Linked DNA regions of Mytilus edulis. The protein of the gene in region 1 purifies or fractionates together with the protein of each later gene. This does not show direct contact. Links are inferred from orthologs where the notes say so. Each region holds a gene or a part of one and is shown on either strand. Other genes may lie near its edges.

Evidence for each region. The genes of interacting proteins can lie anywhere in the genome.
Region 2: the proteins of splicing factor 3B subunit 1-like (region 1) and U4/U6 small nuclear ribonucleoprotein Prp31-like fractionate together in Homo sapiens (co-fractionation; 3 studies listed by BioGRID and IntAct, with this or other methods). This does not show direct contact. The link is inferred for Mytilus edulis from reciprocal best matches to the Homo sapiens genes SF3B1 and PRPF31.

Annotation. Positions count from the first base shown.
Region 1 is NC_092345.1:84,716,360-84,720,120, forward strand, and holds the start of splicing factor 3B subunit 1-like, read right to left. Parts: upstream 2,632-3,761; 5' UTR 2,526-2,631; coding exon 2,504-2,525; intron 572-2,503; coding exon 384-571; intron 1-383. UniProt on the Homo sapiens protein: Component of the 17S U2 SnRNP complex of the spliceosome, a large ribonucleoprotein complex that removes introns from transcribed pre-mRNAs.
Region 2 is NC_092352.1:66,095,312-66,099,072, reverse strand, and holds the start of U4/U6 small nuclear ribonucleoprotein Prp31-like, read right to left. Parts: upstream 2,761-3,761; 5' UTR 2,631-2,760; exon of another isoform or gene 2,599-2,630; intron 635-2,598; 5' UTR 605-634; coding exon 428-604; intron 1-427. UniProt on the Homo sapiens protein: Involved in pre-mRNA splicing as component of the spliceosome. Required for the assembly of the U4/U5/U6 tri-snRNP complex, one of the building blocks of the spliceosome.

The DNA of each region.
Region 1 (3,761 bases):
TTTTCCTTTGAATTAATTGGGTTATTGAACCCTGCAATGGGCAATTGCATTGGGTTTTTTATTCTTTGTATTGCGTGATCACGCAAATACGCAGCTTATCTGGAGCTTTGATCAGCTATTAGAAAGTTACACAATTTGAATTCCTTATCACCATAAAATTGATATGATATCTGCTTTAGTATATTCTACCATCATCCTTTTTAAATTGTGTACATGTACATTCATACAAAGCTGTAAATTCATTAATAAAAACTAAAGAGTATTTGTTAGGTTAAAAGCTCTATAAAGCTTACCTATATTATAAAAAAACACATAACCAACTTTCAATAAAACTGCTTTATGTTCAAATCAAAACTTTTTTTGAAGAAAAACATATTGCTTACATCTAATTCTTCATTTGGAGCAATAGATGTGACATATCCTTCAAACTTCCCATGTGCACTGTAAATATCTGTATCATAATGGCCTTCTGCTCCCAAACCAACTTTATTTGCCTCATCTTCTTCATCTGCCCCTCCATCTTGGAGCTTCTTTTTCTTTTGTTGAAGATTTCGTACTTGTTCTTCAATTTCTGAAATAAATATCTCCATTTTAATTTTGAATCATTTGTATGTTAATATTTGAGTAGGGTTTTTAAATGGATAGTTCATATTGTCAGTGGGATTTCTTGGACTTACCCCTTTTTATTTGATGCAATTCAACATAGTTAAGTTTTTTAATTTTTTCACTAAGTAGTTAATTTTGTATGTCATTTAGTCTCTGGTGCAGAGTTGTCTCATTGGCAGTCATACTTCATCTTTTTTTTTATATAAATTTTAATTAAATAAAAGCTGAATTTTCAACTTTAAGAAACTATGTCCATGATGCCACATCCCCTTCATGCCCTTATTTTACTTAATTATTTTAAAGAGACAGATCTTTTTTTTTTAATTGGTTGTATCTGTGGAATACCTATTAGAAAAGGGATATCACATTCTGATTTCTACAAGTATATGGATTAATACGGAGCCAGAATTCTGACCGTGCAAGGGCTGTGTAGCCAGTCAAGGTTGTTAAAAACTTTCTTTAGTAGAGCCAGAAAATTCATATCTGACTCATTGGTCATTTGAATTAACTGATTCTTGAAGTTATCAATTTCTTCAATGGTATGATCTTTAAGATCTCTCTTCATTTACATGTACTACTACTGCAATGCAACATTGATTATGTTGATTGAGTTCTTTTCATAAATTAAAACGTTAATAACTAGGGCCTAAATTAATATATTGTTTGTTTCCCCAATCCTGACCCTGCCAAGCCAGGTGTGGGTCGGAAGGTAGGGAAATAATTTTATTTTTTCCAAAAAGCTTGAACAACATTGGACGATCCTGCAAGCCTGAAAATAGGAAATGAATAAAATAATATTTGACTTAAATTTGACAATAAAATTTTATGAGTAGCACTGTTTTTGCAGGGTCGGTTGGGATTGGGGAAACAAACAATATTTTATTTTAGGCCTAGTCATGGGTTTTTTTTCAGGCTGGTTAAAATGTTTTAATTTAACCCTAATTCTGTTGGAATTAATAATCAAAATTTGATATGAGTTGAAATTTGCTTTGCACTACATTTGTTATAGCTTTTAGTTCCACAGTAGTTGTTATACTCTTGCAAAGGCACCTTTTCTTTTCATAGTATTCTTGTGCTTATACTAGTGCCGATATGATGATGTTATACATAATATAGGTGGTTAGAGAGTCATTCTAGCTAGGGAATGTGTGTGAGAGTCATAATGGTATGATGACTCTTGAGGTGGGGGAAGTGTGACAGGATTGCTTTCGTTCATAAATGTGGTAGACATTTAGTCAGCCATAAGTGCTTCCTTGTTACACAAACTGAAACATTACATATGTGAAGAAACTACAAAAGAGGAAACGTACACAAGTGTTTACAGTGTCATTTGGGACACTTACTAAAGACTAAAGACTAAGGTCCTGTGTTTCGAGTCCTGGTGGAGACAAGCAATTTTTTACACTTGTTCAACTTATTGTAACTAAATGACTTAAATAATATTCCTTTTCAGAACATACATGATGCATGTATTAATGGAAAAATTAGTGTGGCTGAATGGACTATTGCAAAACTAGTTCTACAGCCGAAATGACCTATGGCTGAACTGGTTATAACTTATGCGACCGAAACGTGTTATCAGCCCTGTTGGGCAGCATATCTTCTGAAGGTAAAGATTCTCTCTAATTCACAATGAGTTAAAATAGTATTGGATATGGATCGAGACAGCCACTATGAAAAAGAACTGCTAAGAACAATGTAGTATGACAAGATTCAAGAATTCGAAAATAAAATCTTGAACCTTTTAACACACATGTGTTCCATTATACGTTGCAACACAAAGCCACGTGTGTGGATGTTTACTTATATGTAAATTTAATTAAAATGTCATATTGCTACATTTGAGGTTGTTTCATATAAGTTTTCTAGGGGAGAAGTGGGGAAATAGTATACGGACCTTCTCTTGTTGTTGCAGCCATTTTGCTGGTCTATTGATGAATAAATGGAAGACTTTAATTTACAAACAATGTGCGTGAAATCTCGGAGTCTCAAACAAACTCCAAAATTGAGAAAGGAAATGGGGAATGTGTCAAAGCGACAACAACCCGGCATAGAGCAAACAACAGCCGAAGGCCACCAGTCTTCAATGTAGCGAGAATTCCCGCACCCGTAGGTGTCCTTCAGCTGGCCCCTAAAAATATGTATCATGACTAGTACAGTGATAATGGACGTCATACTAAACTCCGAATTATACACAAGAAACTAAAATCAAAAATCATACAAGACTAACAAAGGCCAAAGGCTCCTTACTTGGGACAGGCGCAAAATTGCGGCGGGGTTAAACATGTTTATGAGATCCCCCCCCTCCCCCTATACCTTCTAGCCAATGTAGAAAAGTGCCCACATCGGCATTTGTTTTGTAGATTTTGATTTCTGTTTATTTTTTTTCTAGAACTATAACCTTACTGTGTTATTCTAATCTAAGTTTTTTTTTTTACTGTTTTTACATTGTTTTTGTTTTATTTTATTCGCGGTTAAAGGGGCACTATGATGAATTATTCACTCAGTTGCAAGTGAATAATTCAACCTCATTTAATCCGTATTCATGTAAACTTCAATTTAACCCCTTAGCAAAAGATGGATAACGCATGAATTTTGCTTGTAAATTTATTTTATAAAGGGAAAAAATGTTAACATGAAAGATAACAAAGGTTTCTACTTGTATTTGTAATACTTATTTGTACTGATTTTTATCCATCTGATGAGTTAAGCCTTTTCAACTGGTTTTTATAGTTCGTTTTTTATGTTGTACTGTTACACTACTGTCCCAGGTAAGGGGAGGATTGGGATCCCATTAACATGTCTAACCCCTCCACATTCTGTATGTTTGTGTCTGTCCCGACGACCAGGGGCCTGTAATTCAGTGGTTGTCGTTTGTTTATATATGTGTTATGTTTTTCGTTCATTTTTTGTACATAAATTATGCCGCGCGAGTTTTCTCGTTTGAATTGTCATTTCGGGGCATTTTATCGCTGACTATGCGGTATGGGCTTTGCCGGTCATTGTTGAAGGCCGTACGGTGACCTATATTTGTTAATATCTGTAATATTTGGTCTCTTGTGGAGAGTTGTCTCATTGGCAATCATACCACATCTTCTTTTTTACAATCAATTGATTGATTGACTGATTTGATCCACAAAAAATATACAGACAAA
Region 2 (3,761 bases), on another chromosome or scaffold:
TACAGTCAAATAAGTATGTCAAAGTAGCTTCTACGGTTCTACATGTACCGGCAGATTTTAACAGCAAATTGTTCAGGTCAGATCATATCAAAATGTGGGATATAAATAAATATGTTAAATAGAAACAAGAAGGTAGGCATTTGTGGATGTTTAAAATCATTACAATGTATGCCTAACTTGAACTGAACCTATTTAGCTCCACACTATGAAACAGCTATATATGTGCATACATAAAAATTCATTTGAGGTCAGTTGGTTTCCTATGCTTATCAAATATTTCAATGTAATATATAGTAGCTAACGGCATATATTAAATAATGATTTAAACTGAAACTACATTTGTGGTTTTTGAGAACAAAGAAGTAAATTGTAGCCTGCTGATTGGGTGGATTTTAAGGAGCTTCAGTCATCATATAAAGTTGTATACCTTTTGGCTATCCCTTAGTTTTGCTACAGATCTAACAGAGTCCTTTGTTGAGAAGTCAACTTCTTCAGAGACTTCAGCCACTTCAGAAATATCAGTCATTTCAATATCAGCTTCATCTTCTATTGCCTCCCCTCCTGCCTCTTCGTAATCTGCTAGAAGTTCATCTGCTAGAGACATCTTGTTTAACTGTTTCTCAAAAACTTAGAACTAAAATACAAAAAATATAAATGTGCATGACTGAAATCTATTAGAACATGTACATGTCTAATTTTCAGTATTCCAACTGAACTATACTGATTAACCTTTTTTATGTGGTGATCGAGGTGTAATAAATATATAATGATGTTATATTATGCTCCTTGTGAGCCCATTTGATGGAAATAAAGCATCTTCTTCTTCTATAGTGTGTAAATCCAACATGGCAACCGTTATGATATCCTTGGTCGCCATGTTGGCTGATCATGTACACACTAAATGTATATAAACTTTATAAAGATCTTTATGAACTTACCTGTTTTCTGTAAATCATTTTTAAGTTACATGTATAAAATACTCTTATAATGTAATATTATTTGATAATCAATCATGAATGTTTAAAAGTCACCAATATCATGAATATGTGCTAATACTAAAATTTCAAGTGTTATTTAGTTATTACAAGTGTTATTCAGATAATAATGGTGTTATTCTGTCATTTGTGTTACCCCATGTCTATTATATAAAGTATTGTCACTTGTGTAAATGTTTATTGCATTACTATACATACAATTGAGAATGGAATAGGGAATCATCATAATGTACCAAAGTGACAACAACCCGATCAAAGAGCAGAAAACAGCTGATAAACACCTGACCAATTGGTCTTCAATATCACGAGAAAATCCTCACCTGGAGGCAGATTCAGCTATCCTGCTAAATCATGTATGGTGCAGTCCGGAGTATCCGCATTCATACATGTTCATTCATGAACACATTCATAACATACTTTTATTTCATAAAATCTTTTGTTTGTATGGTTTCATCCTCTAGATTTTGTGTAATGTGTGTCCAAAATTAGGGAAACCCCTGTTCTGAGAGTTCCTTTAATGTCTGGTGATTTCGCGCATGCCTTCAAAAAAATAGCTTATTTGGAATAAAAAAGATTTTATACTACGAAATATAGCTGAGTTTGTACCAAACACACTTCCAAGGATGCAGAGCAAAAATTATTTCAATCTGATATTAATATGACTTAACCCTTTCCTCCATGGATTTTTTTTCTTCACAAACTTGATTCGCATAAGGATTTTTTTCAATAAAAAAAATCATCAGGTTTAAAGTATTTATGCATTGTGAAAACGAATATTTCATCAATGAAATTCAAGTCAGATATTCTCATAAATATTCTTTTCATATTGGATACAAACTGTTTAAAGTCTGATGCAGACATTTTGTAGTCAAAGCATTTCAACTGAGGTACTACACAGACGTCAAAAGGCGTCATTATGGAGTAAAGGGGGTGGCGTCAAAAAGCGTCATAATGGAGGAAAGGGTTAAATATAACAAATTTTATCTGATGATGTAACTTTTTAAATGGAAATTAACCAAATGTGGTAAATCACGGAATTGCAGTTATTATTAATTCTTGAACTTATCAATTTTATTCTTTTTTATCCCTTCGGAAGGCTAAAACAATAACAAGAATGATTTTGTATGTTTTAATGTGTTGATATAAATATAAGACGAAATCAGCTAATGCGCGATATCACGGGAGGCGCGGACACCGGGGACTCCACTGTTAACAAAAATGTATGCTAGTTCAGTGAAAATTGAGCTCATACTCAACTCCAAAACATATAAATGAACTTAAATTGTAAGTTATACAATACTAACAAAGTGCAATCACTCCAACGTCTCCGTATATATTAAAATTTTTATATTTATATTAAGGTATAAATTGTTCAAACAAGGAATAAAACCTTCAAAAAGCTATGTTATGAAAATCTATGGATGGTACCAACGGGATTCGAACCCTCAATCTTGGGATATTAAGGCAACGCTCTAACCAATTGAGCCAAAGAAGAGGATCTTCCCTAACTCAACTAGTTACTAAGTTAGACCACCTTTATAACTAAAGGTCTACAACAGCTAGCACAACAAATAAACTTTCGAGTCAAAACTTAAATATTTACATTATGATTATGCCAAATTGTTGTAATTTTACCAATTATCTGGATTTCAATTCCTCAAAATACGTCTGAAATAAACATAAACAGCCACTACTAAATTTTTACATGGGGGCTGCCATTTTTCGTAATCAAAACGTTTGTGGGATTGCCTTAAAAAGTAATACCTGGTTTAATTTTTGGTGACGGATAATTTCCGGGGGAAAAAGAAAGGCACTGGCTACGGTTACATTGGAGACTAATTGCCGGAATGCAGGTTTGGATAAGGAACCGATTAATTACGAATATAACAATAATATTTCGGTCTACAGTTACCCTGCGTTATTGTTACCGTGATTAAAGACTGTGATGTACCCTAGTTCTAATGTACGATGGGCCTATATATAGTGATAAGTATTAGAATGAAACTTGAAAAGTTGTATTTGATATTTAAATATTGCATGCATACAATATTTCAATTTTTTATTTACAATGACTGTTTCTACAAATCCAGTATGTTGTTGTATTTAGTATGTTTTAGCCTTTAAGTCCGACGCATTTTTTTTGTGAAACCCCTCTAAACAGCCATCACAAATAAGTGATTCGACAATGTGCATGCTCCATGTATTGCATTCCATTCTGCACCTCTTCTTTTTTTAGGTTAAAGAAACTTTCAATGTCTGCTATCCTGCAGGTGATTTTTTTTTACGCTTGAAATTTTTATATTTTCGACCAATTATTTTGTTGGAAGCTTGTCAAAGGTTGTTTAAATACAAGTCAACTGTGAAAGCAACTAATGTTGAAATTCGCCGACAGGTTGAAAATGGTGGAAACAATGTTTTCATTTTCAGACTCCAGATATTTTGTAATCGTAGTTTCGTTCTTTTTGGTGAAAATAAATGCTCTATTAAACAGCTAGTTCATTAAGTATTCATCAATTTAGTGCCATTAAACTATAGTAGTTTCTTTAACAACATCAAAACAATCAATACTTAAAAAGTTTTTGAAAAACAATATAATTATTATTATCTAGTACATAACAATAACGCAATGTAACCGTGGACCCATATATTATTGTTACATTCGTAATTAATCGGTTCCTTACCCAACCCTGCATTCCGGTAATTAGCCTCTAATGTAACAATAATTGTAATATTATTGTTACATTTCCATGTTACCGTAGCCAGTGC